Linked DNA regions of Rattus norvegicus. The protein of the gene in region 1 purifies or fractionates together with the protein of each later gene. This does not show direct contact. Links are inferred from orthologs where the notes say so. Each region holds a gene or a part of one and is shown in the gene's direction. Other genes may lie near its edges.

Region 1 (3,664 bases):
GAGAACTTGCAGAACTGAAGTATTTAAAACTATATTGAATTCTGAAATGTAATGTGCCCTTAGGAAATGTTTTTTATTTAGAACTAAGAAACATTATCTGGTATATTTTCCTTTGAAAAATGTGTTAAAATTAGGATTATGATGGCTTCTGAACATGGTAAAAATATTTATTACTAGAAAGGTAAGGTGGCTCAGTTCGTAGATATTTGACAGCAAGCTGACAGCTTGCGCTGTCAGAAGGAGAGAGGCTCCTTAGCGAGGTCGTTCTCCTCGTCTCCACTACCCGGAAATGAATACAACATACAGGGAAACAGAGCTGGCGAGATCGTGCGGTAGGTGGTGTAATTGACAACCTGAGTTCAGTCCCAGCAGTTCACTTGATGTAAGGAAGAAACCGACTCAAGTCCACAGTTGTCTTCCAACCTTCGCATGTAGAAGAGAGCGAGAGGCGCTCTCCTATGGGCACATGTGCATGTGTACACAACAAACAAGTTCTTAAAACTTCTAATGAATTGCAAACTGATGGTTATTTTAATTAAAGAAAAAAAGTCTTTTAACAGGGCTGCTTTTTTGGTTGTACTTTTACAGTTTTTATTTAGTATTATTTGAAATTTTGGTGAATGCCATACAGTTTGAAGCACGAAGAAAGATTAAAAGTTTTCATGGTCCTACAATCTTCACATTCCTAGATGGACAGACTTACTGTTTTTGTTTTCCTTTATATTTTTGACATAAAGCCCTATTTATAATCTGATCAAAAGCCTGGTATCATTGGACAAGATGACTGACTCATCAGGTAACAGAAACCTGGTGATCTTAGTTTAATCCCAGAAGGCCATTTACAGATGTATAGAGTGAATTCCACGACAGCCAGGGCCACACAGAGAAACAAACCCTGCCTCAAGAATACCAACCAGCCAACCACCAGATGGAGAGAGAGCTGCTGTTAGAAAGCCTTCTGACTTCCACACTCCTGCTCTGGCGTGTGCTTGTAAACATGTAACATGTAATGATGTGCAATGATAACAGTTAAAAGCGTCTTGTAAAAACAATGTATGAAAGCTTGTAACTGGATGCATCGCAGATCATGTAGTATCAATGACAGACTGTCATGCCTGTACAGGAGAGCTGAAAAGTGGAAGGGATTTTACCCTGCTGAACCTGCGGGTTCCCGAGTGTGTTTGCATTGTTGCTGTCAGGTGTTAATACGTTGTCCACAGGAAAAAGTCCAAGGGTTTCCTGCACGTCCCAGAATCTCAGTGCTCACAGTTCTTGTATAGAATGTGTAGTGCCTGAATACGCCCCTACATATTTTATACCATATATTTAAGTAATCTCTAGGTCATCATAGCACCTAATACAGTATAAGTGCTGTGTGACTAGTCCCCATGCTCTGTGGTTTAAGTTTGTGTGCTTAATACAGACGCAGCTCTCATAAGCCTAATTACATTTTTGTGGTTGGTTGTTTTGTTGGTTTGGTTTCGTTTTTGAGACAGGGTTTCTCTGTGTAGCCCAGGTTGTCCTGGAACTCACTCTGTGGACTCAGATCTGACTGGGATTAAAGGCCACCATAATCAGCTCATGATTCTGCTGCTCAGTCAGTCTGTAGTGTGGAGCACACAGATACAGAGAACCAACTGCATCTCTTCTATTTCCTTTATACAAAATTGTAGTATCCACTGAGCCACCTTGTTGCCTAAGGGAAGCTAAACTTTAATAATGATTACAGGAAGTCTAGTTTTCAGGTAATGTCATTGCCAACTTCTATGTAGTTTAAAAATCACTAAGACCATATTGATAAAATTGACTTAGGTGGAATATGTTGATTTCTTTAGAAACATTTAAATGTCAGAAACATGAATTAAATCAATAGAAGTAAAGACAGGATCTGTGGTAAATATTGCTATCACTGTATTATTAGTCTAGTTAATATAGAGAGTAGTGTTTACAGATTTTTTTTTTTTTTTTTTTTGGTTCTTTTTTTCGAAGCTGGGGACCGAACCCAGGTGTTTACAGATTTTTAAGACTAGACATTCATGGTTCTCCTGTTATACAAAGAGACACCCTAATATTAGAGGCAAATTTGTGTAGGTGGAGTCCTGTGTCTTATTGCATTTATTTGTATGTGTGTGTGATCATATGTGTATGTATAAGTTAGAACACAACTTTTCAAGATTTGATACTATTTTTCCACTTTGTTGGTCCTAGGGGTTGAACTCAGGTCATCGTGCATTAAGATGGTGCAACAAGCACCTTTATCCACTGAGCTATGTTAACAGCACCCACAGATTTGCTCATGACTATTCCGCCTTTTCAGGCACCAGACATGTATGTGGTACAAAGTCATACAGGGAGTCAAGCATTCAAATGCATATTAATTTTTATAAAACAGTAGAGATTATAGGTTAATTTTGGCTTCCTTTACTTTCAAAATCTTTGTAATAAGTGCAAGGGGAAAAAAATTGTAGCTGCTGATTAAGTCTCCAGGTGAATAGCTAGGGGCCGTACAGTGTGGCTGGTGTTAGGAGATAACATAGGAAATGTTACTGATTTGCTTTGCTCAAACTAGTTGAATGTATTCATGTACTTTCCTTTTCCCTTTTCCTCTTAGGAAGCCATCATACAAATAATGAAAATGAGGAAGAAAATTAGCAATGCTCAGCTGCAGACTGAATTAGTAGAAATTTTGAAAAACATGTTCTTACCACAGAAGAAAATGATAAAAGAGCAAATCGAATGGCTGATCGAGCACAAGTACATCAGGAGGGATGAGGCCGACATCAACACCTTCATATACATGGCGTAGCTGAATCCAGCCTGCCGCAGCTACACATCTGGAGACCTGGGCAGAAGGTTGTCCCAGGCTGAGCTGGAGGAAGGTTTATTTGGACTTTGATTACATAAATATTAAACTCTGCCTTACCTTACAAAGCGACTATATTTTGCCAGTCACATTAGTCAGCATGATGGCAATCCCTTCATGTTGCACACTCTTTAACAGCATGCTGTTTTGTGGAGAAAATTGCATTCATGAAGAGCCCATTATGAACTTTCAAAGTCAATTCAATTTTTACCCACCCAGAGAAATAACATTTTGGAAGGGTGAGGGTGGGGTTCCTTTTGCTTCTTTTATCCCCCTTTCCTCTTTAAAGGAATATACTTACACAAGGAAGGATTTTCAGATACTCATGCACTGAGAAATGCTGGGGTTTTTTGTTGGTTTGTTATTTTTGGGTTTTTTTTTTTTTTTAATGCAATTAAAGCTAGAGGCAGCACTCAGCTTCTTTTGATGCAGAGTGAATTGTCAACACTGTTGGGCAAGGGCAGGCACACTTGAGAAGACAGTGTGCCAGTGTTGAGCTGTTTGTCAAACACTGCTTTCACTTTAGTGACTGGATCTTAATGGTAACGGAAACTGGTATTAAATATTTCTACCTTACAAATGCTGATTTTCACTGAGCAGGAGAGTGCTGTTTAGTCATTTGTTGTTAAACATGAAGATGTGGGATTTTCTTTTTAGACTTTGTATGGCTGGAGAGCTTGTTTTGAAAACATGAAGTTTATAGTCAATGTTGTTTCAGTTAAAAATTTATGGGTTTAGGTACATCACTGATTACAGAAATCAGAATCCCGAAGTAAACATGTTAAGTGTGTTACTAATACA
Region 2 (4,224 bases), on another chromosome or scaffold:
CCAGTATCCCTAAAGGATTCGAAGCCAAAAGCCGAAGCAGCAAGAATGATTCAAAAGGACGGGGCAGTCTGAAGGAGAAGACGCTGGACTGTGGCCAGATTGTATGGGGGTTGGCCTTCAGCCCATGGCCCTCTCCACCCAGCAGGAAACTCTGGCTCCGTCACCATCCCCAGGTGCCTGATGTCTCCTGCCTGATCCTGGCCACAGGTCTCAACGACGGACAGATCAAGATTTGGGAGGTGCAGACAGGTAGGTCTTTCTGGCTAGTGCTAGGTCCAGGGCGGTGGGCTCTTGACGTGAGTCAGGCCCCACCAACTGCCAGGTGGCTGATGAGTGGGCACCAGCCAGTGAGCCTGCCTTCACCGTACACCGACCTGTTCCCTCCAGGGCTCCTGCTGCTGAATCTTTCTGGCCACCAGGATGTTGTGAGAGATCTGAGCTTCACGCCCAATGGCAGCTTGATTTTGGTCTCTGCATCCCGGGATAAGACTCTTCGCATTTGGGACCTGAATAAGCACGGTAGGGGGAGGGGCTGAACCACTCAGTCCTGTGCTGACTGCAGCCTTCATCTCAGCAAGGCCATTTCCCGTGAGCTCCCTTCCTCCTCCGCCTCACCCAAAAGCCTCCTGAGATAGCCTCATAGCCACCCTGTGGCCTTCAAGTACTGAGCTGAAGGTGTTTTTACTATCGGAGTTCACTGCACAGCTGCCCTGCAAGGGCAGACTCTAAGACCCTCTCAGGACGCCAACCCCCAAGTGCTCATGCCTCTCACGTAAGCTGCCATTGCATTTGCACAGACCTCACATCGTCCAAAAGTGGGCTCTGGAGGGCTCGCAGTCCCTAGTGTGCTGTAAATACTCTGAGAACAGTGGCTGTATGTCCTGTAGGCATCACTGACAAGAAGACTAGATTCAGTACAGTCTTTAACATTTAAATTTACTATCATTGTCCCAGGGTATGTGTGTGTGTGTGTGGGGGGGGGTGCTATCACATGCCCCAGCCTGCACGTGGAGGCCAGAGGACAGCTCCCAGGAGTGACTTCTCTCCTCCTGTCCATCTGTGGGAAAATGATGGCCATAAACTCCTCTTCCCTCTCACCATTCAGGAGTCACACCAGAGCTGAGAGGGACTCTGCAATACACAGCTTGTACAACCCGCTGAGAGACAGTTACTCTAGGCTGAGATCCTACTTGAAAGGCACCTCTTTTTATCTCAGGAAGCCCCCTCAGGACTGCTCTCAGACCAGGGGCTCCGGGTGAAGGAGCAGGCACTAAGTATCCTCCAGGGAACACTTGTAGTGTCTAGAGAGCTTAGAAGTGGCTTCTCAGGAGACTGAGCGTGGGGTGCCGCTCAGCATCTGGAGTGCATAGGCTAGCTAGTAAGGAGACTGAGCGTGGAGTGCCGCTCAGCATGTAGAGTGCACAGGCTAGCTCATAAGGCAGCCGTGAAGCCTGTTCTAGATCACATACACCTAGGGCAGTAGCACTTCTGAGTATTCAGACTGTGCTTTCCTGTGAGCAACATGCACTGATACGCAGCCAGCCCACATACCCATGAACACAGATGGCACACATATGGCTTTTTTGTGACTGACCATAGATCCAGGCTGGCAAGGCAAGATAGCTCAGTGGTAAGTGAACCTGCTGCTAAGCCGGATGACCCGAGTACCATCCCCAGAACCCACGTGTAGAGAGAAGAAATGGCAAGGGAGTCAGTCCTAGAAGAGGTGAATTCTCCAACAGTGAGACTGGGCCGGTGCCAGTCTCAATCCATTAGGAGGGATTTCTCCTACCTTCTTAGTACTGAGAATCCTGGTCAGTGCTCTAGTACGGGTTTCCCTGGTACATGCCCCAGCCTGGAGGCCTTATCAGCACACAGCTGCTTCTGTGCTGGAGGCTGGAAGTCTTAGGACCAAGGAAGTCTTAGCCATGTACATGATGACGCGGGTGGCGGGGTGTCCATAGATGGCTCTATCACAGACACACATACATGGCTGATGACGGGGGGCGGGGTGTCCATAGATGGCTCTATCGCAGACACATATACATGGCTGATGACGGGATAGGGTGTCCATAGATGGCTCTATCACAGACACACATACATGGCTGATGACGCGGGGGGGTGGGGTGTCCATAGATGACTCTATCGCAGACACACAGGGCTCTCTAGGTCTGCTCTCTTGCATAAAGCACTACTCCCATTCTTGAGGGCTTCCTTCTCAGGACCAGTTTGATTTCCCAAAGACCCCATTCCAAATGCCATCTCTTGGAGATTGTTTGAATCCTATGAATTTTGGGGTCCCCACAGTCCATAGCAGCTTGTAGATAAACAGTTACAGAGGTGTTTAGAGTGTCCTCATCCAGACTCCTCACTCACTAAGACACCCCACCCTGTGGTTTCTATCTGATACGGGAGCTTGAAACCCAGCAGATGAATCTGGCCCTGCTAGCAAGGACCTGGACACACCACAGCTAAGCTGCCCCAGCCCCACGCCTGCTGCACTTTTAAGACAGGGTCTCTGTGTGTATTCCTGCAACTTTCTGCATAGACCAAGCTGGCCTTCAGTTTACAGATCTGCCTGTCTCTGCCTTCCAAGTGCTGTGATTGAGGGCTTACACCACTGTGCCCAGCCCCAGCTTGGCCATATTCCATGCTGGGTGTGTAGGGCTTCCTCACCGGATGGCTTAGTCTAGGTTGGCCCTGGACCTCATTGGACGGTTTCCTCCTCCCAAATGCTGAGGCCTGGGCACACCGGATGGGAAGGTTGAGGGAAGACTCAGTAAATCCCTTGCTGTCTGGGGGAGAGTGGACCAGGTGGGGGGGGTCCGACTGTGGGTGGAACAAAGTGGACTGGGGGGGTCTCTTGTTTTTAAAGTGTACTGTATTTAATGTTTTGCCTGTGTATGCACACCATTCATGTGCCTGGTGCTCAGAGGCCAGGGTGGCTGTCAGAGTCCTTGGGTTTGGAGCTGAGGATGTGTGTGAGCTGCCATGTGGCTGCTGAGAGCCACAAGAGGACAAGGTGCATTACCAGGCCCCAGGTTGTCCTGCTAACCTGACTTAGCGCGAGCCACACATCCGGTTACCACAGCCAGGCTGCCGTAGAAGCAGCACAGCTGGCTTGACAGACTGATCACTCACAGCCTCTGCTCTCCATGCCCTCCTCTTACCCAACCGCCTTCCCTCGCTTGCGTCTTCCACGTGTCCCTTGCAGTTGCTAACCCATGTCAAGAACCACAGTGTTTGTACTCGGAACACACTCCTGAGCACACGCACATTGGGTTTTGAGGTCATTTCACAAAAAATAGAATTTTATTCCTCATCTTTTCTCCTGTATATTGCAGTTTTCCTTAAGCAATACCATGTGGGGAAGTTTCTCTTCCTTCTGAACCACAGGCTGGGCGTGGGCCCCATTGCCTCTCTCATCCTCATGTAGGCCCGGCCAGCCTTGGGGTTTGGGAAGGTCCAGGCCTGAGAAGATGATGCTCGGTGCCTGACCATGCCGTCAGAGCATAGCGCAGTGGCAGACTCTACTGGGAACCAGGTTGTCTGACCTCAGAGCGCACACCTCTCATGACTGTCCTTCTGTGTGTCCCTTGAACAGCGCCCCTTAGGGAGCCGTGAGAGGCTGTCAGGCCTGGATAGGTGTGAGTGAGTACAGTGCTGGGGTCTTGAAAGGACGGTCTCTGCTGCCATCCTCACCTGCAGACTAGAGGAAGCTGCAGGGGGTGAGCGCCCTTGGCTTCTTGGCCGCTGCCTCCACAGATTGCAGGTGTTTGCTTGTCCCTTTGATTTGCAAGTGTTTGTCACAGTTCCTGTCCTGCACTAGAATGTGGGTCTTTGCCTGGCGCTGAGCCCTAGAAGGTGTTCCTGGGTCTTTCATTTCTGAGGGCTCATGGCCTTCTGTTCTTCTCTGGCAGGTAAGCAGATCCAGGTGCTGTCCGGCCATCTGCAGTGGGTTTACTGCTGCTCCATCTCCCCTGACTGCAGCATGCTGTGCTCTGCCGCTGGTGAGAAGTCGGTAAGCCTCCAGCGTGTGCGCGTGCGTGTGTGTGTGTGTGTGTGTGCGCTTGTGTGTGTGCGAGCGTGTGTGCGTGAGTGTGCACGCCTATGCATGTGTGTGTGCATGTGTGCGCACGCGTGTGTGTGTGCATGCATGTGTGTGCACTGCGTGAGGTGTGTGTGTGCGTGCGCGAGTGTGCATGCACATGCTAAGTCACAGTC
Region 3 (2,935 bases), on another chromosome or scaffold:
CTGCCTTGAACTCAGAGATCCACCTGCCTCTGCCTCCTAAGTTCTGGAACTAAAGGTGTATGTTACCACACCTAAAACATAAGTATTTTTAAATGAGGTAGAGAAAGCTAAATGGAATGTCCTCTTTCTCGCACGTACAGAAAACTGCCTAGAGCAGTTGGAAATGGGATTTCCACGAGGAGCCCAGCCAGCCCCACTGCTCTGCTCTGTTCTGAAGGCCTCAGGTTCTCTACAGCAGCTGTCACTCGACAGTGCCACCTTCGCCTCTCCTCAAGATTTTGGGCTTGTTTTGCAAACACTCAAAGGTAGGAATGGTGAGGGAGGGTACGTAAGGACCTAGCATTGTTCCCTGGGAAAACTAAGCCCCACCACCCATGGCTATGTCTCCTATCCAGAATACAACCTGTCCCTGAAGAGGCTGAGTTTCCATGATATGAATCTTGCAGACTGTCAGAGTGAGGTGCTCTTTTTGTTAAAGAATCTGACCCTTCAAGGTAAGATCCTAACCCAGAACCTGAGCGTTCCTCTGTCTTCAACATAGCTTTGTCATTATCTCAGTCTGCAAATCATGTTTTCCTAGTCTTATATCTTCCTTGACTATAAAGGATAAAGAACCTGCATGACCTTCCTTCTAATATCCCAAAAGTTAGTACATCACCCAGTTTTATTGTTTTTATCAAGGGTGGTAGCACCTGAGTGAGTTCAATTAAAAAATAAGATCATGGGGAGAAATAATTGTGCTACTGTGTGTGGATGTTCCCTTCAGATACGCGTAACAATCTCTACCCTGCAAAGGCATCAGTTACTATAAAGAGGGGGAAGTGGATAAAAATTTATCCATGCAGAGATGTTCCTCAAACAGTTAGGCTTAATATCCTATTTAAATTGAGTTTCAACATTGCTCGGATCATTACAGATTATCCTTTTCAAGTGTATATAAATAATCACATTACTAGCCAACCTAGGACAGGAGGGACAGCACCACCCCTGCTTCAGTTATCCGAATATTCTACTTTCTCTTGTCAGAGATTACCTTCTCCTTCTGTCGTCTGTTTGAGAAGCGCCCAGCCCAATTTCTTCCTGAGATGGTTGCTGCTATGAAGGGCAACTCTACACTGAAGGGCCTTCGACTACCAGGGAACCGCCTAGGTAGGGACCATACCCTGGAGAGGAGGGAAGAAGGGAGGAAGGAAGAAAGGAACTAGGCCTTTGACCTAGAAACTTTTGGGGTAAAGGTACTGACCGGTCCGTTGAGAAGGCTAAGGTTGCAATATAGGTATTTGAGTCCTAGGTGTTCAGAACTGCTAGGACTAAGGTTCTCCCAAGTTGGAGCTGGGATAGGAAAACCTTGTTTCCCTGTTCCTGGGCAGAGGTATGAGTATTCCTCTCTCTCTCCAGGGAATGCTGGCCTATTAGCCCTAGCAGATGTTTTCTCAGAGGATTCTTCCTCTTCTCTCTGTCAGCTGGACATCAGGTATGCTAGGGACTGGGAGACAAGGGATGGGGGAGAAAGGGATATAATAGAGACGAAAGCCTGGTTGCTTCCTGGATATCTAATTCATCTCATCCCCACCAGCTCCAACTGCATCAAGCCAGATGGGCTTTTGGAGTTTGCCAAACGACTGGAGCGCTGGGGCCGTGGAGCCTTTGGTCATCTACGCCTCTTCCAGAACTGGCTGGACCAGGATGCAGTAACAGCGAGAGAAGCAATCCGGCGACTCCGGGCTACCTGCCACGTGGTTAGCGACTCATGGGACTCAACCCAGGCCTTTGCAGATTATGTCAGCACCATGTGATGGGGCCCATACCTCACAGGCCCATCCTCAGTACCGTCAGCTTGCAGGGACTGAGCCATGGGCTGCCCAGAACCCCTAACCACTGATTCTGTCATCCTCCTCCTGCCACTTTGTCTATTTCTGTTTTGTTTTCATCTTCCCTGGCACTGAGGTCCTGGAGGCCTCAATGAGGCCCAGCAAAGGCATTCCCACAGCTGAGTTCAGAGGCTTTGGGCCACTTACTCGGTACTCTGGGAACCCCAGGCCAGGTTATGGGTCTCTGTCTTCACTGAGGAAAGCCCCTACCCCTGCTCTGGGGTTTCCTGCTTCACTCCTCAAGCAGGTACCCAGGCTTAGAGCAGTATAGGAATGCCTACCATCAGGCCTCTCCCTCCTGGGCTTCCCAGTCTGGTCCCGGGCCTCAATCCCTTTCATGCCTTTATTCCTTTCTTTTTTTTTTTTTTAAACCAAAAAAGTTTTTCTTATAAAATAAATTTTGGGCAAACATCATGCAGCCCTTCTTGGTGATTTTCTCCCAGAGAACAAAACTGAGCAGAGACTCGTGAGACAGAGGACCCCCTTTTCCCTGTATCCTTTCCCAAGCTACTCATCCAGACCAGCTGGTTAGCAGTGAAGACCCCGCTGCTCCTCATGGGAACGCTGGTGGAAGACGAAGGTGATGGCTGTAGATGAAGCATCCCAGGCAGCCTGGAGTACCTCATCCTGGAGCCCTCGTTTATCTGTGTTATGGTTCCACTGAGCCAGGTCTGAAGTGCAGTCAGAACCATCAGGGGGTGGCCAGACCTGGCGGTTATTTACACAACGGCGGCAATGCAGTCTGGGGTCAGAGGACAGAGTTGGGTCACTACAGATTTCTGTGCTGCTCAGGTAGCAAAGAGGTAATGACAAGGCACTCCACATACCTGTCGTGAGTGTCACTGAGGCTGGCTTCATCCAGGGTAAACAGCTCTTTGAGCTCACCAAGAGAGAAGTGACGTTCCACATCCTGCTCCTCATCTACCACACAGCTGCTCAGAGCCTTCTTGTGGCTTTGCCGCTGAAAGATCTTTTCCTCAATTGTTCCTGCCTAGAAATGGGATGAAATATAGGACTCAACCAATCCTGTAGACACCGAGGGAGCAGAAATACCCAGGGGTTGA
Region 4 (4,270 bases), on another chromosome or scaffold:
TTGCTTGCTTTCTTTCTTTCTTTCTTTCTTTCTTTCTTTCTTTCTTTCTTTTTTCTTTTCTTTTTTTCGGAGCTGGGGACCGAACCCTGGGTCAGCCTGCTTTCTTATAGAACTCAGGACCACCTGCCCAGAGATGGCACCACCCACAATGTGCTATCCCCCACCCCCCACCAAGAAAATGCCTTACAGCCAGATCTTATGGTGGCATTTTCTCAATTAAGGTTCCTTCCTTTCAGGCAGCTCTAAGAACTCTAGTTTGTGGGTCAAGTTGACGCAAGACTAGGCAGCACAGTGTATCCGTGCCATCACATTCGTGTGGAGTTCCGAAGAAATCGTTAACACCCCTGGGACTGGAACTCACGGACGTCTGTGAGCTTCAATGTGGCTGTGAGAACCTGAACTGGGGCCTCCACAAGAGCAGCCTGTGCTCTTACTGCCGAGCCATTGCAGCAGGCTCGCATCAGAGTTTTAAAACGTTAAAATTAGCTGGGTGTGACTCATACCTTTATAATCCTAGCATTTGAAAGTAGAGCTAAGAGGAACAGGAATTCAAGGCCAGCTCTTGCCTACAGAGCCACTTCTGTCCTAGATGGGCTACAAGAAACCATTTGAAACCCATCCAAACAACAATAACTACAGCAACAACGTTAAAATTAGGCTGGGCACAGGGTACACACCTTTAATGCCAACACTCAGGAGGCAGAGGCAGGCTGATCAGTGTGAGTTCAACCTAGTCTACAGAGGGAGTTCTAGGCCCTCTCTGCTCTCCCCACCTCTCTCTCTCTCTCTCTCTCTCTCTCTCTCTCTCTCTCTCTCTCTCACACACACACACACACACACACACACACACACACACACACACACACATTTAACTTACTGGTAGCATTATGTGATTTTTAAACTGTTATCAATAGACATCCAAGGAGGTCAAACTTCAATGACAATCTCTCCATGATAACGCAGATAGTAGTCTAACTTCACTCAGAACTAACCCTCAAAGCACACATCCTCTAGACAACGTGCCCACTAGTAGTCCCATTACTCAGGAGGCTGAAGCAGGAGGATGAATGGTTACCGCTTCAGCCACATAGGGAGACAGGCAGGGAACAATCTCAATCCCTACGTTCTCCTAAACGGGAGCAGTAGGTCAGGAAGGGTGTGAAGGCCTTTTCCTAATCTCAGGATCGACTTGCTCAGGCAGCGCAAAGGTCTCCAGTGGAGAAGTCTCCACACACGCAGAATCCAAGGCGATGACGTCATCAAAGGGTTAATTCTAGGCTGGGATGGGGGGAGGGCGGGGCACGCAGCTGTCAGGTGGCTTCGGAAAAATAAACTGCTGGGAGTCCTGGGAGGGACAAGAGATTACCCACCCAGAGTGTGCCCCACAAAACATGAGCGCTTGTCCACATTTGAAGTCATCACACACTCCTTGCCTGAATTCTTTGCAGACGGTGGGTTCCCAGGACGGGAAATGATGTGGCGGGCGTGGTCCGGGAGGTGACGATAGGGTTAATCGTCTCCAGAGCCCAGGGGCGGAGCGCAGGCGGGCGTCCTACGGCCCCGCTGGAGCCGGAAGCGGTTGCTGGTCAGGGGCGCTTCCACCCTTCCCTATCTGTGCTTCCACTGAGGTCTCTGAGGGGTAGGGGGAGCCCAGTGAGGTGCGGGATAGGGGCCGGGCCTTAGAGACCTCAAGGGGACGGTCCACGGTAAGGTCTGAGGGAGAAAAGTCGTGAAAAACTTGGGGGGAAAGGCGCGACGCAGATGGGGTGAAAGTGATGGGCCTGGGCGGGTTGGGGGACCAAGGGAAGATGAGGCTGGTTCGCATACACCGGTGAACGGATGGGAGCCTCAGGGAAAGATGCTACGCCTAACAGTCCTTTCTTTCTCCACGCCACTCCAGGGGACGATCCGGAGCTCAACTTTCAAAAGACAGACGCCCCAACAAGCCTGTTTTGAGAAGTTCTTCAGCTGCTCACCTCATGGGCCAGACGGCCCTGGCAAGGGGCAGCAGCAGCACCCCTAGCTCGCACGCTCTGTACTCTGACTTATCTCCTCCCGAGGGCTTGGAGGAGCTCCTGTCCGCACCCCCTCCTGACCTAGGGGCCCAACGACACCACGGCTGGAACCCCAAGGATTGCTCCGAGAACATCGATGTCAAGGAAGGGGGACTGTGCTTTGAGCGGCGCCCTGTGGCCCAGAGCACTGATGGAGTCCGGGGAAAGAGGGGCTATTCGAGAGGCCTGCATGCCTGGGAGATCAGCTGGCCCCTGGAGCAAAGGGGAACACACGCCGTGGTGGGCGTGGCCACCGCCCTCGCCCCGCTGCAGGCTGACCACTACGCGGCGCTTTTGGGCAGCAACAGCGAGTCCTGGGGCTGGGATATTGGGAGGGGAAAATTGTATCATCAGAGTAAGGGCCTTGAGGCCCCCCAGTACCCAGCCGGACCTCAGGGTGAGCAGCTAGTGGTGCCAGAGAGACTGTTGGTGGTTCTGGACATGGAGGAGGGAACTCTGGGCTACTCTATTGGGGGCACGTACCTGGGACCAGCCTTCCGTGGACTGAAGGGGAGGACCCTTTATCCCTCTGTAAGTGCTGTTTGGGGACAGTGCCAGGTCCGCATCCGCTACCTGGGCGAAAGAAGAGGTGAGATCTGGACTAGGTGTGTGTGGGGGGCAGGGAGGATACCACTTTTGACAATGGGTTGGGGTGGAAACTCGTGGTCGGACCACAGGAAATGGGCTTCAAGTCACTTAGGTGGCCTTGGCTCTAGCTTCACTTCCAGAAATTCAGAGCTTTTGGGTCTCCCTTAGCTAGGGTGGAGGTGGAGAGAGAGTTTGAGGATGTCTGGCGGGAGTTGCTTGCTTACCCTGTCTTCCTTCTCTGTCTCAGCGGAGGAACCACAATCCCTTCTGCACCTGAGCCGCCTGTGTGTGCGCCATGCTCTGGGGGACACCCGGCTGGGTCAAATATCCAGTCTGCCATTGCCCCCTGCCATGAAACGCTATCTACTCTACAAATGACCCTGTGGCACAGGGTGTGCTGGCACCCTACCGTGGGGACAGGTGGAGAGGCACTGCTGGCCTAGACAACTTAAAAGCTGGAGCTGAGGGAAGGAGGCTGGACCCCTTCACTACCCCTTTTCACAGGAACAAGACATAGAAATGATACTATAGGCTGTGGCAGCTTTGGACAAAAGGTTTTTGAAGTAAAAAAAAAATGAGATATATTGTCACAGAACGTGTTTCATTATTGGTTCTTTTTACATTCCACTTGCCCCCCCCCCTCGAGGCTAGAGCCCCCTCACTGTCTTAAAATTATGACAAACCATGTTTAGGCCCAGGTGTTTATTTCCCTTATATGTAGGATGGTTCACAAACACAATACAAGGGCTTCGGCACTACAGGGAGGGGATATCCCAGGCCTCTAAGAGTAAAAGGATCTTGGCCTTAATGTACACTGAAATTCAGACCCGAAGACTCTGAATCTCTGCATCACACATCCAGTAGGGCTTGGGAGTGAAGCTAGAGCCAAGGCCATCTAAGTGACAGGCCAAAGTGACAAGAAGCCTACTTCCTGTGGTCCAGCTGTGAGTTTCCATCCCAAACCAATGGAAGGCCGTTTTCACCCATTAGGGCCCAAAGGGACAGCTAGTTCTACTCCTTCCCCTCCTCAGGAAGCCATCTTGGTGACATATTTGATTTTACCCATTGTAAGTGGTAAAGGGATTGGCCTGGTCCCAACTATTATGGGGAGGTAAGAGGCTCAGGAAGGTACAGTATGGATTAGGTCACAAGATGGAGTTGATGATGTTATCAGAAGCATGTGACTGGCAGGAGCAGTTACTAAACTTCTGGGCAACCTGGTCCAGGCTACGCAGGAAGGTAGGGGGATGAGCAGTGCTCATTGTTTGGCATTGATAATGTCCACGAATTCAGGCTTGAGAGATGCACCGCCCACGAGGAAGCCATCCACATCAGGCTGGCTTGCCAGCTCTTTGCAAGTCGCTCCAGTCACAGAACCTGTAACAGGAGCAAGAGGATGGTCAGGGCTACAGTTAGAACACTTAAGCCCCACCTCTCTGTGCAAGGCAGCTTCAGTCTGTCTTAGCTCGTTTCCGCCTTGGGGGGAGCCAAAGCCACTCACCTCCATAAATGATCCGAGTGCACTGAGCCACCCCCTCAGAGACGTTGCATTTCAGCCATCCCCGGAGCTTCTCGTGTACTTCCTGGGCCTAGAAGGAAGAGGTAGAGTAAGAAAGATCCTTCCTGCC
Region 5 (5,015 bases), on another chromosome or scaffold:
TCTTTTTCTTTTCTTAAGTTTTATTTATTATGTAGTGTTCTTCATGCATGTACACGTGCAGGCCAGAAGAGGGCATCAGATCTCATTATAGATGTTCGTGAGCCACCATGTGGTAGTTAGGAATTGAACTCAGAACCTCTGGAAGAGCAGCCAGTGTTCTTAGCCTCTTCTAACCTCTCTCTCTCCACCACTCTCAACCTGGAACTCACTACGAAGCCCAGATGGCCTCTGGGCCTAAGATCCTCCTGACTTAGCCTCCCGAGTGCTAGACTACAAGCATGTACTACCATGCCTCGTTTTTCCTGCAGGGAAGCAATGGAATCAGATAAGCCTGCACTTGGACCCTATGTTCCCTTGTCTCATGGGTTACTTCCAGAACTCAGGTCTTGAACTTTCAATTCCCCTGCCTTAGTCTACTGAGTAATGGGATTACAGATTATGAAACAGTAAGTCTGGCTTTACCTTAATTTGCCCCTTAAATGGTTTCTGTAAGTATTTTTGTTTTGTTTCATTTTGAGACATGGTCTCACTAAGTAGTTCTGGCTATACCATAATTCCCTATGCATAAGATGCTGGATGATTTAACTCAGAAATCCACCCAATTAAAGGTGTGTACCACCATGCAATTTAAAGTATTCTAAGACAGGGTCTCTCACACTGTAGCACAGGCTACCCTCCCAACTAATAGCAATCCTCCTGCCTCAGTCTCCTGGCTGTTGGGATTACAAATAACCAGCTGAATCCTTTAACTTTTAAATTTCCTCACCTGCCTAGGTTCTACTTACACTTTTCTCCTGTTGAGATTCAAGTATTAAAACCAGAACGATTAGGTGTAGTAATCCTTCTGGTTTTAATCGGCCAAAAGTCTGGTCACGTGGTCTGAAATTCCAACGGAAGAAAACCTCAAAAGCCTGACCAATACACTTCCCTTTCCCCTTAATCATTTGGGGGTTTGTTTTGTTTTTTCCAGACCGGTTCTCAAGTAGCCCAGACTGGCTTGGTATTTGCTATGTATTTTTTGCTTCGTTTTTTTTTTTTTTTTTTTTTTTGATTCTTTTTTTTCCGGAGCTGGGAACTGAACCCAGGCCCTTGCGCTTCCTAGGCAAGCGCTCTACCACTGAGCTAAATCCCCAACCCCCTGGGGCTGGTTTTGAACTCCCGATCCTACCTCTATTTCCAAAACACAGGGAAGCGGTGTGGGTCACCACTCCCTGCCCCCTTGCATTTTAAACTTTTATTCTGCTCTTTAAAAAACATGAGTGGTTGAACTACCTAAATTATCTACCGTTGAATTCTAGCCACGTTTGTCTACTTTTTATTCTGCTCTTTGAAAAACATGAGTGGTTGAACTACCTAAATTATCTACCGTTGAAACTCTAGCCATGTTTGTCTCCTATTTTTAGTTTCTGCATCTTCTCGTCTTCCACTAACGCTCATGCGGCCGGAGGAACTTGGCGCTGCCCTCCTCCCCTCTCCTGCAGCTACCGGGCGGTTCATCTACCCAGGACCTCCACGGAGCCAGGATTTTCTCTACACCCGGCATCCACCGCTCCCGCACCAATAAAGCTTTATCGACAGAGCGGAAGCTAGGTGTCGCTCTCTCACCTCCTTCGGTCGGGAAACGGAAGCAGGCCATAGCCGGCCGGAACCCGCCTCTCGAGAGCGGAAGTGCGGCCGGAAACTGGCCATAGAAGCGCGTGGCTAGAGCGACCCTGCGGGGAGGTGGCAGGAAAGGCTGGGAGCCGCTGCCGGAGGTGACGGAGCGGCCGCCCCGCCCCGCGCGCTGGAAGACGAGGCTTCCAGGTAGCGGTCGGTCGCAGTCTGTCCCAGGGTACGACCCGGCCTTGGGCACAGATTCGCGGACCCGGGGCTGCCTCTTTAAGGGAGGGGGTGGAGCCACGAGTGAGGATCGAAAAGGTGAGGTCACGTGGTTGAGGACACGTGCAAGACACGAGTTTAGAGCTGGGAGTTCGTCGTCGTTGGGGTAGACACCATGTGCCACCTCTTCCCTCCCTTCCTCATCTGTCCTGGAACTCAATGGGATGCACGTGGTGGGGCTTGGGACTGCCCCGATGGAGGAGAGGGTGGGCGTGGCAGCCAGGATGTGGCCGACTTTAAGGAACCCTAGAGTTGGCTTTTAGACTTCTTGACCTAATTGCACACTGCAGAAGTGACGTGGTACCTCTTGAGTGCAGTTCCCCACCCTTGAGCTGACCACCCTCACGTGGTTCAGGGACCTTTAGTTTTACGTTCCTCTTTCCTTGCAGCTCCAGAAAACTTGAGGCCAGAGCCCCGCACCAGGGTGCAGCCATGAGTGCGGAGGTGAAGGTGACAGGGCAGAACCAGGAGCAATTTCTGCTCCTTGCCAAGTCGGCTAAGGGGGCAGCACTGGCCACACTCATCCACCAGGTGCTGGAGGCCCCTGGTGTCTACGTGTTTGGGGAACTGCTGGATATGCCTAATGTTAGAGAGGTGTGTTGCTTGCCTGGGTAATTCAAAAAGAACCTCGGGACCAAAGTTTCCTTGAGAATGGTGGGCTCATTTTGTAACCAATAGCCACTCAGGTGAACAGGGTATTGATAATTAGATGTCAGCTTGGAAAAGTAAGCAGTCAAAAAAAGGTCTTCATTTCCTGTATCTCTTACAGAAAAGGGGTCTGTAAACTTACTGCTCCCTTCCTCTGTACCCACAATTTCAGTCAGGGTTTCACTGCGTAGTCCTGGCTGCACTAAACTGGTAATCGTCATCTGGGCTGGCCTTGAATGCTTGAGAATCTTCTTGACTATGCCTCATGCAGAAGTTAAAAAAAAAATTTTTTTTTTATTTAAAAATGTGGAACGCTTTATAAATTTGAGGTCATCTTTGCCCAGGGACCATGCTAATCTTCTCTGGATCGTTCTAGTTTTAGTATATGTGCTGCTGAAGGAAACACAGATTTTAAATTTTTAAACAAAAGAACATGTCATACACAATACCACTCATAAATGCCAGCTCGTCCACCAGTATGATATCTTTACTGTTGTTATTGATGTTGTTGTTTTTCGAGACAGGGTTTCTCTGTGTACTATAACTTGTGTTCTGGAACTCTCTGTGTGTTCAACTCAGAGATCCACCTCCGGAGTGCTGGGATTGAAGATTTGTGCCTATTGATACCTCTTAATAATCCTGTCACCATCATTTGGGAGGTAGAAACAGGTGGATCTCTGAGTTAGAGGCCAGCTTGGTCTACAGACTTGAGTTCCAGGACAGCCCCTGTTACACAGAGAAACCGTGTCTTAAAAACAAAACAACAAATCTTGTCACCTGGATCAGAAAAACCTAATTAAGTCTCAGTTTTCCCTTAAAAAATGGTGATGAGAACCTTGAAACAGCTGATAGAGTGGTTGCCTAGCATTTGTGAGGCCTTGGCTTCCATTTCAGAACTTGGGATGCTAAGGTAGGGCACCACAAATTTTAGACCAGCCTCTGCAACTTAGACCCCATCTCAAAAAAGGAGTAGGGATGTACTCAGTGAAAGAGCCCTTGTTTGTCGTATGCATGGCTCAGTATAGGTACAGTTCTCACAACTCCAATGAGGGAAAAACCGAAAAAAACACTACCTGGGCTGGAGAGATGGCTCAGCGGTTAAGAGCACTGACTGCTCTTCCAGAGGTCCTGAGTTCAATTTCCATCAACCACAAGGTGGCTCACAACCATCTGTAATGGGGTCTGATGCCCTCTTCTGGTGTGTCTGAAGACAGCTACAGTGTATACATATACATAAAGTAAATGATAATAAGAAAAAAAGCACTTCCCTTCACAGTTACAGTAGTAACTGTGGGAAAGTCTGGAGTCTCCTAAAATCAGAGAGAATGGGCATTTGAGTTATGCCATGGTAAATCCCACCCCCACCCCTACCCCACCCCCAGGTAGATGGTGAAGATGCTGTCTTCCCTAAGACAGTGGCAAACTGCTATGAACACAGTGACGAGAACATTCAGGGAAATGGCTGAGTCAAGAACGTTAAAAGTGGGGTTGGGAATTTAGCTCAGTGGTAGAGCGCTTGCCTAGGAAGCGCAAGGCCCTGGGTTCGGTCCCCAGCTCCGGAAAAAAAAAAAAAAAGAAAAAAAAAAAGAAAAAAAGAACGTTAAAAGTATAGAGCAGATGGATGGCCAATCCTGGGACACCAGCCTGTCATGAGAGTGACAGTAGTGTGTGGCTAGACTGAGCCAGGCATTAGAAGACCCGTGGTGGAATCAGAGGATAGAATGTTTTTTGGGACTGCTGTTTCACAAGAAACTGGCTTTTGTCCCTGATTTTCTCTACAGTGAACTAAAGTATGTCCTTAAGATGAGGTAGAAGGAGCATTTCCAGCTTGTGTTCCAGTGAAAGAGATCGGATAAATGGATAAAACAATACAAGTCAGCAATTTATCAGTAACTTACTTCGAAGGCCACAGCTCTGGGTCCTTGGAGGCTAGCAGATGCTGGGTCTATAGCCTTGTTAAAACATTGTTGGGGCTGGGGATTTAGCTCAGTGGTAGAGCGCTTACCTAGGAAGCGCAAGGCCCTGGGTTCGGTCCCCAGCTCCGAAAAAAAGAACCAAAAAAAAAAAAAAAAAAAAAAAAAAAAAAACATTGTTAGGTGAGAACCAGCAGAGTGACATGCCAGGATAAGTGGCAGTGACAGGAGGGAAGGTGCTGTGGATGACGTAAGACCTCGCTATGAGGACATTCTGAAGCCATGGCCACAAACCCTCTGGGGGGCGGGGGGGCACATAATTTACAGTGTCTGGTGTGTATGTGTGTGCACACGCACCTGTGCTACTCTGAACACTGAAAGTTTTCAGCCCTGACTGAGAATAGGAATCGGATGCGTAGCACAGCAAAGGGTTAGTAGCAGAAATGAGCCCCTGACAGACCAGGATAGGGACTGTTGGGAAGGATGGGGTGAGAAAGCAAGGTCAGAACAGGGCCTCCTTGTCACTGCCTCCCTTGTGTTCTTGCAGCTGGCAGACAGCGACTTTGCCTCCACGTT
Region 6 (4,224 bases), on another chromosome or scaffold:
CTGATTAAATGGTTTTTAAAGATGCATCTTTTTACCTGGGTTGTGGTGGCACACACCTTTCCTCCCAGCACTCAGGAGGCAGAAGCAGGTGGACCCCTGTAAGTTTGAGGCCAGGCTGGTCTACAGTGTTAAGTCCATATATCTTCATACATACAGCCAGGGTCTCTTTTTGACTGTTTTTGTTATGGTGATACAGACTCTATGTATTCACAGACTATTCTCAACTCACTGTGTAGCACAGGTTGACCTCACAGTCATGGCCGTCCTACCTCAGCCTCCCACATGAGGGTTGCAGGTGTATCACACCACACCTGTGAGAAGTAAGGCTTCTTTCAGCTGGTTAGCAACTTCCAGAATCCCCTAGTGCACAAGTAATTTTACTCAAGTAGGAGGAAAGACGCGCTGTGTTGGGTCGGGTGGACTTTTACTTATTTGTGATATGGGGGATTGAACTCCAGGCTTGTGCATGTTGGGAAAATACCCTTTATCTCTGAGCCACAACCTCTAGCCCAGGAAGGTAGCTTTCTAATCTTTGTGATTTTTCAGGGTTAATTGTATTTTTTTTTTTGCCTCATCTGCTCACTTTGTTTTTATTTAATTTCATATGCTAACATTAGGCCCTAATGTGTAAGATTCCCGCAACACACCTGCAGGTTCTGAGCCCAGCTGATTTAGAAGCCTTCAGGCAGTAGTTTACAGCTTTTAACAGAGAGGGGCCAGACTCCACTGATTTGTAGTTGGTTTGGCTTCACTTCTTCCTTACCTGTGTCTGTTTTTATGAGACTATACCTTTAAAAAGTTTGCATCTCTCTGTGATTAAGAGTTGTATGTTTGTTCCTTGATTTTTAGTTGCTAATGTACTGTTACCTGATCTAATCATAAATTTCTGGTTGTCACCAAGAATTTCAGGTGGGGGGGGGTTGGGGATTTAGCTCAGTGGTAGAGCGCTTGCCTAGGAAGCTCAAGGTCCTGGGTTCGGTCCCCAGCTCCGAAAAAAAGAACCAAAAAAAAAAAAAAAAGAATTTCAGGTGGGAAGTTCCTTTCTCCCTCTTTTCCTCCTTTCCTCCCTCTAGCTTGTTCTGGAGATTAAAGTTGGGGATTGGAACTCAGTGCCTCACGTGTATTTGTGTGGGGTGCCACCACTGTGCTGCACCCGTGGTCTGAATCAACCCTATTTTCTTGGGGAATGGGAAGACCAGGACCTTTTTCTCTTTCTTTTTTTTTTTTTTTCCGGAGCTGGGGACCGAACCCAGGGCCTTGTACTTGTTAGGCAAGCGCTCTACCACTGAGCTAAATCCCCAGTCCCCCTTTTTCTCTTTCTAATCATGGTCTTCTCAATCTTGGTAAAGAGTAGGAAGATTGTTTTGTTCTTTTGTTTTGTTATCATTTAATACTCACCCACCACCCTTGAAATTGCTATTTTCCTCTGCTCCCCTCTGCTCCCCTCTGTGCTCACTTTCTTTCCTGTGCTTCTGTTTACATAGTCAGTTTATTTCTAAACTAGAACTGACAGCTCGGGGTTTGTAGAATGTAGGTTTAATAATGCTCTGTTCTTGTTAGTCATTGGTTCAGGGCTGTTGTTGGAGATTTGATATTGGTCACAAAGGTTTGAGAAACAAGCACAAACTTCAGGATAACCTGTGATTGGTCGTTGTTGTTGGTGGTGGTGGTGGTGGTGGTGGTGGTGTGTGTGTGTGTGTGTGTGTGTGTGTGTGTGTGTGTGTGTGTGTGTGTGTTCGTTCTTTCTTTCATTCTGTTTTGTTTTGCCATGCCTCTTCTGGGTAAACTATTCAGTGTTAGTGTTTGAGGCTTGAACATTTCACAGTTCAGCATTTTATGTGAAGTCCAGAAGGTGGCAGTGTAGCACATACTGAGTATTTCTCTTTCCTGTGGAAGAATGTTTAACATCTATCTGTAAGAGTGTGGGTGTGGCAGCTGAGAGCTGGGTGAAGTCTAGGACATGAGACTAGAAAGTTACCTCCTTTGGTGCTGTGGGATCTTGTTGGGTGTCATAGGTTCCACAGTTTACCCGTCTCTCTTTTTTTTTTTTTTCGGAGCTGGGGACCGAACCCAGGGCCTTGCGCTTCCTAGGCAAGCGCTCTACCACTGAGCTAAATCCCCAACCCCTACCCGTCTCTTTTTATCTCAGATATTGGTGATTACCACTAGTCTGCATTGCTTAAGCACAGAGAGACAGTTCTTGCCTGTGTGGGTAATACTTGGATTTCTTTTTTCAATGCTTGCCAAGTGGTTTTAGAACTGTCATATGACCTATCCACAGTGTATCCCCTACTCTGTGCTGCTGAAGGACCTGGAGATGAGGAATCTCCGGGAACTAGAAGACCTTATCATTGAGGCTGTCTACACTGACATCATCCAGGGCAAGCTGGACCAGCGAAACCAGCTCCTGGAAGTGGATTTCTGCATTGGCCGTGACATCCAGAAGAAAGATATCAATAATATTGTCAAGACCTTGCATGAATGGTGAGACTGGGAGATGGAGGGAGGGCCTCTCTGCAGCACTGTGATCTTGAGAAGTGAGCTTGAGGTAGTCCAAGCTGGGGTCTTTGGACACTGAGACAGAGTGGGGCTGCATTGGTGGTTACAGCTGTGTGGCATTAGGAAACCTGGAAGGGTTCCTGGTGCCTGCCTTGTGAAGTTGACTTTAAATGCAGCTGGGCTGTAAAATGTTCATGTGGAGTTATAGGTCGAGTCTCTGCATTCTGGCTGTGTGGCACCAAATCGCAGCTTCTAAACATATCTCCTTATCCTCCCGTCCAATGAATAAATGAATTTAGTAAAAAGAACAGAGACTTTAGTATATTATTTTAGTGGGATTTGATGCTTGCAAAAGTGGTTATGTGTTCTGTAAGGATTTAATGAGCTATGTAAGTGATTTGGGGCTATGAAACCAGAGCTTAGGGAAGTGTGAGGAAGCTTTGAGGGAGAGCATTATTGAGAGTGGGGAGATTGTTCCCACATGGGCCTATGGCGTGCTGCATGGCATTCAGCAGACTGGGCAGCTTTGTGCTGAGAGTTAGGGACACTTGCCTTTGTTGTTGTTTTTTCTCGAAACAGGCCTTGTTCTCTAGCCCAGGCTTGCCTAGAACTAACTATAACTATGCATTCTAGGTTTGCCTCAAAGTCAAGATTTGTCCAACTGCCTTCCAAGTACCACTACACCCAGATTTTGTATACATAAAAAATATAATACATACATATATAAAATAGGCATTTTGCTTACATGTATAGAAGTGCACTGTGTGTTTATCTAGTGCCCACAGGGGTCAGAGGAGGGCATCAGAGTCCCTGGAACTGGAGTTATGGGTGATCGTGAGCTAGTGTGTGGGTGTCGGAAGCTGAACTTGGGTCCTGTATAAGAGCAACAAACATTCTAACCACTGAGCCATCTCTTCAGCCACCAGAAGAGAGTCTCAGAGCTCCTACTTATATGTTAGAAGGGGACTGGAAAATAAAAACACAGCAAAATATTGGACATATTGAATAGTAATGGACAGTGTGTAAATTTTCATTATATTGCTTTTCAAAAACTTATTTTTTGAGACAGGATCTCATTTTGTAGACCTGGCTGGTGTCACAGGCTAGCTGTGAACTCAAGAGATCTGTCTCTGCTTCCTGAGTACCGGGATTAAAGGCATGTGTCACTAAGCCCAGTGAGAAGTGCTTGTTAACTAGGAAATAACTTCAAATTCCGAGGAAAAGGCAATCTGTAAAATAGAACATTTACTTTTTCTTTTGTAGAAAGGGATCAAGTCAGTGTTACTTGTAGTTAGTCCCTCCTTCGGTCTTAGTCTGTAAAAGTGTTTCTTATGGACTGCAAGGACTGGAAATTAGAGCTGTATTCCAAGAAATTGCCCACAATCTGCAGCTGCTGTGCCCTTGGCCTGTGTTACATATTTAGATGACTTGGTTTGGAAGGAGGGAGGGGACTGACATGACCACCTGGCAGAGGAAGTCCCATAAAGTGCTGGAAGGATCTGGGAGGGAGATTCCTGAGCCTGTAGGAGCCTGCTTCCACCTCACTGTAGCTCAGGGCTGGGTTTTCTGTTGCAGGTGTGACGGCTGTGAGGCAGTTCTCCTGGGCATTGAGCAGCAAGTTCTGAGAGCCAACCAGTACAAAGAGAACCACCACCGGACTCAGCAGCAGGTGGAAGCCGAGGTAACTAGAAACGGAGCATTTGTTCCCCTCCTTAGGGTGGCCTA
Region 7 (5,024 bases), on another chromosome or scaffold:
CAGATCTCCTGCCTGGAACTGGAGTCATGGCTGTGAGTCAACAAGTTGGTGCTGGGAACTGAACCCAAATCCTCTACTAGAGCAACAAGTGCTCTGTGCTCTGAACTGCTGAACCAATTCTTCATCCAGTGTCTCATTTTATCTGTTTTTTTTTATAATTTTAAATGTGCATTGGTGTTTTGCTTGCATATTTATCTGTGTGAGGGTGTCCGATCTCCTGAAACTAGTTACAGACACTTGTGAGCTGCCATGTGGGTGGTGGGCAGCTAGGGATCTTTTTTTTTTTTTTTTTTTTTCGGAGCTGGGGACCGAACCCAGGGCCTTGCACTTGCTAGGCAAGCGCTCTACCACTGAGCTAAATCCCAGCCCCTAGCTAGGGCTCTTAACCTCTGAGCCATCTCTACAGCACCCCCTCCTCCCCCACATTTTATCTATTATCTGGCAATGTTCAGGAAGTTTGTGTAAAAACTGTTCCAAGGTACAGTATGTGTGTGTGACTGACTGCAGCACGTGCACCTACGGTATGTGGCGGTCAGAGGAGGATAACTTTCAGAAGTCAGTTCAGCCTTCTACCCTGTTAAAATGGGCTTACACCAGGCCAGGTAACTTTCGAACTGTTGGACAAATTTTCCTATCTTTACTTCCTTCCTTACTATAGGAGCAGGAGGTAGGTGGGATGAGGATTACAGATGGCCAGGCACCGGAGGGAGCTCAAACTCACTCTGTCAGGCTTACAGCGCAAGAGTGTTGGTCCCAATCTATGTTTACTTTTTTAATTTCTTGCTATTCACGTGACTTGTGAAAGCACTTTTCTGAAGAACGCTGTCCGTGGCCCTCCAGCTTCAGAGCTGGCCGACCAAGTGTACACATGCAACGTGTTGCCCATCCCGGAGTCCACCTGGATAACGCTGCTCTCGCTGGTCTAAGCTTCCAGGATCCCCAGTGGGAAGAATGTCCTCATAAGAGTCAGCTCAAAGGAGAAGACCTTCAGCATTCATGCTTGTGCCTAAACTCTCAGGAGCGGCCCCTCCTACTCCACGGCCAGGAGGAAGTCCCACCCCTTGAACAGCCTACAACGGACAGAGCCTTGCCCCCACCGGGACGAGCAGTAATTGGCTGTCCCCGCCCTGCCTCCAGGGAACGCGAGCCGGAGAGTGTACGTCCAAACTACGTTACTTCCCTTCGAGAGAAGCCAGTGCAGCTTGAAAGATATACTGCCCCCCCTCAGCGACTCATTCATGTCGCCTCAAGCAGGAGTTATCTCTATCCTTCCGCTTGTCCACAAGGGGGAGGGGTAGACTTGTGTAATATTTGACTCTTGATTGGCGCGAATTAGGAAAGGGGTGGGCTTAGAAGGTTATGATCGATGTGAGATGGCACAAATGCCTTAGCAGTGGTAGCCAATGGTGATGACAAGGGGGCGGGAGTCCAGGATGTTGCTTGTCGGTGCCGGGCTACTATGGCTCTGAGGCAGCCTGCAGGAAGCGGTAGGGGTTCAGACGGACATGCAAGAGCGACCAATGATTTTGGAAAATCAGCGGGGAAGTGGCCAATGGTCACAGCGAGGAGGCGGGGAAATTCGCCAGCCTCCGCAACACTGTGTACGAAATGGCGGGGACGGGACTTCAGTGACAGACAAGCATATAGACCAACAGAAATGATAAAGAGGGTGGCAACGGGCCAGTAGCAGTGGTGAGTGGGCAGGGCGGGGCGACCGTGGGCTGGGCGGCACCGTGTGTGGGGCGACGTGGGGGCGGGGCGATCGTGACGGCCAGGGTGCCAAGCCAATGGCCCGGAGAGGGCCGGCGGAGGGTGGCCAATGGCGGCCGCGCATCCGGGGGCGGGGCTGCGGGGCTGCGCGGTGCCGTGCGGGAAGCGGCGGGCGGCGGCGGCGGCGGCGGTAGCAGCGGCGGCTAGGAGGCTGAGGTGAAGCTGGAGGCAGCGGGGTGGGTGCACTGGGGGCGGTGGCCAGTGGGCGGGAGCATCAGCGTTTGGACCGCACGGCCGCTCACCAGCCTTCGCCCGCAGGTCTGGCGGCGGTGCCGTGGGCCGCGGTGCGGCGGGCGGGAGGATGGGCACCCAGGGCAGTCCAGTGAAGAGCTACGATTACCTGCTCAAGTTCCTGCTGGTGGGCGACAGCGACGTGGGCAAAGGCGAGATTCTGGAGAGTCTTCAGGACGGAGCAGCCGAATCCCCGTACGCCTACAGCAACGGTAGGCCGGGGTTGGCGATGGGCGCGCGGGGCGGGAGCGGCCTGTCGCGGGCGCGGGCGGCCTCTGCGCGTGTCGCTGCGGTATCCTCTGGCCCTGCCTTGGGGAGCCGTCGGCAAGCAGATGCGGGCCCCGGTGGCTAGTAGGAGGTTTCAGCAGCAGGTCTTTGGAGTCCTTTAGAGCCCGGAATGGGCCGCGCGGCAGATACCGCATGAGCGGCCGGGTGCTCACCGCACTGCCTCCGGAGGGGTTTGCTCAGGGACACCGCACCCTGTGCAGGGAGAAAATACATCTGCTGCGATGTGATTCTTGTTAACTTCCGGGTGCATGGCAAAAAAAAAAATACACAAGGTAGATTGCATCACTGGCACTTGTCTGAGCTTGCCTCTTAATTTAGGTATTTAAGGTAAAATCGTAGCTAACAGTGGGTGGGATTGGATCACAGGCTACAGGGGCTGCTGACTCCGGAGGAATTAATGTGCAGTGGGCCTGTCATTCTTATATCACTGGACTAATTGTACCTCCCTGGTCTCTCCCTGGGTTCCTTTTCTCTGCCTCTTTACTTTGTTCTCTGGGGTTTTGTTAGCCCTGTCTTACTGCTCTGAGCACTGGAAGTCTGGTAAATAACAGCTGAGTGTAGGCAAGACATCTACCACTCTTTGCAGTTAGGACTTGTCAAGGGTGATGACCACCAGGACTTGAGTGGAGGATTATTTCTTCTGAACAGAAGTGCTGGATCTTCTCTGTACCTCTTCCCCACACTCCTGCTCTCAGCTTCAATCTATAGCAGGCATCTTTGAGTGCAGGAAAGGAAGAGCCATGGTTTTACTTTGTGGGGCATGTGAAAGGACCTCTGCACAGCCAGGCAGCCTTGACTGGTATTTGACTGGGTGCCCCAAGGTGACAGCCCGGCTTAGATAGGCTTTGGGGTTACCTTTCCAACAGAGGAGCATGGAACAGGCTGGGCTTCAGAAGTGCTTAGTGTTAACTTGGTGCTTTGGAAAGACAGCCTGTGGCCCCCGGCCCTAATCTTAACCCCCCATCAGCTTCAACTGCATATACACACAGCCTCCAGCTGGATCTTTCCTCATCTCCTCTGTCAACTGAATCTTGCCAGATTTCCTATGACATGCTACCTGAAGTTCGGCCAGTAGCGCATAAAGAGTACAAAGGTGTGAGACGTACTGAGGGCTGCTTAGCACAGGGCACCACTCACCAAGTGCTTTTACACTGCACAAACTGTAAAGCCCAGGGCACACTTGCAGGTCCTTGTGTGGGTCCTGCAGTATGAAGCACAGAGGGAAACAGCTGTGTCAGCATGTTTTTTGTGTCGGGTTGACATGCATATAGCACAAACATCAGGTCTTTGGGTCAGAGCATTGGGCCACTGACCCATGGAGCACTCCACGGAGTGAAGTTGGTTGATCTGAGAATGCTTGGGCCTTCTCAGAGGAGAAGAGATTAGAAGTGATAAAGCAAGGGTTGGGGATTTAGCTCAGTGGTAGAGCGCTTGCCTAGCAAGCGAAAGGCCCTGGGTTCGGTCCCCAGCTCCGAAAAAAAAAAAGAAAAGAAAAAAAAAAGAAGTGATAAAGCAGCTGGTTCTGGAGAGGGAGCACAGTGTGTTTACTGTTTGAAAGAGCTGGACTTCTGGTTCTCTAAGTAGAACCAGACATTTCTCCGTATGTCAGCCAAGCGGTGGTGGCACACTTCTTTAGTCCCTGTACTGAGAAGCAGAGGCAGATGGATCTCTGAGTTTGAGGCCAACCTGATCTACAGAACAAGTTCCATGATAGCCATGGCTACCCAGAGAAACCCTGTCTGGAAAACAGAAAGAGAATGTTTATTTCCAACTTTAGGTTTTTTTCAAGGTTCAGGCTTCTCTGATCAGGGTAGTCCCCACCTGGGAAGGGGCCTGCTCCATATTGGCCCCAGATCTCCTTCTTTTTTTTTTTTTTTTTTTTGGTTCTCTTTTTCGGAGCTGGGGACCGAACCCAGGGCCTTGCGCTTCCTAGGTAAGCGCTCTACCACTGAGCTAAATCCCCAGCCCCCCAGATCTCCTTCTTGATCCCAGCCGGGTTATTTACCTGTCTTAACGTCTCGTCTAGCTTGTTCCTCAGGTGTGAACATCGCTCTCTCTGACTTCACAAACATGTGAGTCATCAAAACGACTTTTTTTTTTTAATTAGCACTGACACCTGAAACAGTGACAGAGTAGGATCCTGTGACCACATGCCCAGCATCTGCAAGAGCCCCCAGGTCTGGTGCCTTAGATACTTATTAGGGTCTCTGTGGAGCTAGAAACATCAGGGCATTGAGGACGCAGCAGTGATTGTGTCCAGCAGCAGTGAGAGTCTCTTCTCTGGATGTAACAGGACACTTTCAGAGCACTTCCTTCTGGGCACCCACAGCAGAATTACGCTCCAGAGTAAAGGCATTGTGGAGTCTCAGTTGTGGGAGAGGATTGAGGGGGAGGGGCAGCTTCTATGCACAAGCATACAATGAGTAGATTTGCCTCTGGTTCTGATATGTGGCCTTGGAATGAAAGGTCCATGTTGGTCCCAAGTCAGCCAACTGGGTATTTACCCTTGAGCCCAGGAAACATTATTACTGTAGCACACAAGACTGCCCTTGTTTGTGATGTGGGCATTGAACATCTTTAGTTAAGACAATTCTATCTCACCCTAGCTCATACAAGATTCCTGAGTGTTAGAGCCTTCAGGAAAATCCACTGTAGTTCATATGCTCATGGCCTGAAAGATCCACATCTGTTAATGGGTCCATGGGTGTTACTTCATTCTTCTGTTCCCTTGGGAG

The links.
Region 2: the proteins of Cul5 (region 1) and Wsb2 purify together in Homo sapiens (affinity purification with mass spectrometry; 3 studies listed by BioGRID and IntAct, counting the BioPlex papers as one, with this or other methods). This does not show direct contact. The link is inferred for Rattus norvegicus from reciprocal best matches to the Homo sapiens genes CUL5 and WSB2.
Region 3: the proteins of Cul5 (region 1) and Lrrc41 purify together in Homo sapiens (affinity purification with mass spectrometry; 3 studies listed by BioGRID and IntAct, counting the BioPlex papers as one, with this or other methods). This does not show direct contact. The link is inferred for Rattus norvegicus from reciprocal best matches to the Homo sapiens genes CUL5 and LRRC41.
Region 4: the proteins of Cul5 (region 1) and Spsb2 purify together in Homo sapiens (affinity purification with mass spectrometry; 4 studies listed by BioGRID and IntAct, counting the BioPlex papers as one, with this or other methods). This does not show direct contact. The link is inferred for Rattus norvegicus from reciprocal best matches to the Homo sapiens genes CUL5 and SPSB2.
Region 5: the proteins of Cul5 (region 1) and Cops7a purify together in Homo sapiens (affinity purification with mass spectrometry; 3 studies listed by BioGRID and IntAct, with this or other methods). This does not show direct contact. The link is inferred for Rattus norvegicus from reciprocal best matches to the Homo sapiens genes CUL5 and COPS7A.
Region 6: the proteins of Cul5 (region 1) and Cops7b purify together in Homo sapiens (affinity purification with mass spectrometry; 3 studies listed by BioGRID and IntAct, with this or other methods). This does not show direct contact. The link is inferred for Rattus norvegicus from reciprocal best matches to the Homo sapiens genes CUL5 and COPS7B.
Region 7: the proteins of Cul5 (region 1) and Rab40c purify together in Homo sapiens (affinity purification with mass spectrometry; 5 studies listed by BioGRID and IntAct, counting the BioPlex papers as one, with this or other methods). This does not show direct contact. The link is inferred for Rattus norvegicus from reciprocal best matches to the Homo sapiens genes CUL5 and RAB40C.

What each region holds. Positions count from the first base shown.
Region 1 is NC_086026.1:62,911,553-62,915,216, reverse strand, and holds the end of Cul5 (cullin-5), read left to right. Parts: intron 1-2,611; coding exon 2,612-2,806; 3' UTR 2,807-3,024; downstream 3,025-3,664. UniProt on the Homo sapiens protein: Core component of multiple cullin-5-RING E3 ubiquitin-protein ligase complexes (ECS complexes, also named CRL5 complexes), which mediate the ubiquitination and subsequent proteasomal degradation of target proteins.
Region 2 is NC_086030.1:44,882,307-44,886,530, reverse strand, and holds part of Wsb2 (WD repeat and SOCS box-containing protein 2), read left to right. Parts: intron 1-4; coding exon 5-249; intron 250-387; coding exon 388-519; intron 520-3,920; coding exon 3,921-4,021; intron 4,022-4,224. UniProt on the Homo sapiens protein: May be a substrate-recognition component of a SCF-like ECS (Elongin-Cullin-SOCS-box protein) E3 ubiquitin ligase complex which mediates the ubiquitination and subsequent proteasomal degradation of target proteins.
Region 3 is NC_086023.1:134,809,893-134,812,827, forward strand, and holds the end of Lrrc41 (leucine-rich repeat-containing protein 41), read left to right. Parts: intron 1-140; coding exon 141-305; intron 306-395; coding exon 396-494; intron 495-1,026; coding exon 1,027-1,149; intron 1,150-1,398; coding exon 1,399-1,474; intron 1,475-1,576; coding exon 1,577-1,796; 3' UTR 1,797-2,285; downstream 2,286-2,935. Other genes in the region: Rad54l (DNA repair and recombination protein RAD54-like), read right to left, coding at 2,400-2,613, 2,699-2,862. UniProt on the Homo sapiens protein: Probable substrate recognition component of an ECS (Elongin BC-CUL2/5-SOCS-box protein) E3 ubiquitin ligase complex which mediates the ubiquitination and subsequent proteasomal degradation of target proteins.
Region 4 is NC_086022.1:159,298,332-159,302,601, forward strand, and holds Spsb2 (SPRY domain-containing SOCS box protein 2), read left to right. Parts: upstream 1-1,542; 5' UTR 1,543-1,706; intron 1,707-1,900; 5' UTR 1,901-1,979; coding exon 1,980-2,643; coding exon of another isoform or gene 2,644-2,810; exon of another isoform or gene 2,811-2,889; coding exon 2,890-3,020; 3' UTR 3,021-3,237; downstream 3,238-4,270. Other genes in the region: Tpi1 (triosephosphate isomerase), read right to left, coding at 3,901-4,019, 4,144-4,231. UniProt on the Homo sapiens protein: Substrate recognition component of a SCF-like ECS (Elongin BC-CUL2/5-SOCS-box protein) E3 ubiquitin-protein ligase complex which mediates the ubiquitination and subsequent proteasomal degradation of target proteins.
Region 5 is NC_086022.1:159,456,954-159,461,968, reverse strand, and holds the start of Cops7a (COP9 signalosome complex subunit 7a), read left to right. Parts: upstream 1-1,795; 5' UTR 1,796-1,917; intron 1,918-1,938; exon of another isoform or gene 1,939-2,037; coding exon of another isoform or gene 2,038-2,051; intron 2,052-2,267; coding exon of another isoform or gene 2,268-2,310; coding exon 2,311-2,472; intron 2,473-2,826; exon of another isoform or gene 2,827-2,932; intron 2,933-4,986; coding exon 4,987-5,015.
Region 6 is NC_086027.1:94,702,773-94,706,996, forward strand, and holds part of Cops7b (COP9 signalosome complex subunit 7b), read left to right. Parts: intron 1-2,281; coding exon 2,282-2,484; intron 2,485-4,074; coding exon 4,075-4,180; intron 4,181-4,224. UniProt on the Homo sapiens protein: Component of the COP9 signalosome complex (CSN), a complex involved in various cellular and developmental processes.
Region 7 is NC_086028.1:15,437,503-15,442,526, reverse strand, and holds the start of Rab40c (ras-related protein Rab-40C), read left to right. Parts: upstream 1-1,867; 5' UTR 1,868-1,926; exon of another isoform or gene 1,927-2,028; 5' UTR 2,029-2,071; coding exon 2,072-2,213; exon of another isoform or gene 2,214-2,437; coding exon of another isoform or gene 2,438-2,481; intron 2,482-4,374; exon of another isoform or gene 4,375-5,024. UniProt on the Homo sapiens protein: RAB40C small GTPase acts as substrate-recognition component of the ECS(RAB40C) E3 ubiquitin ligase complex which mediates the ubiquitination and subsequent proteasomal degradation of target proteins.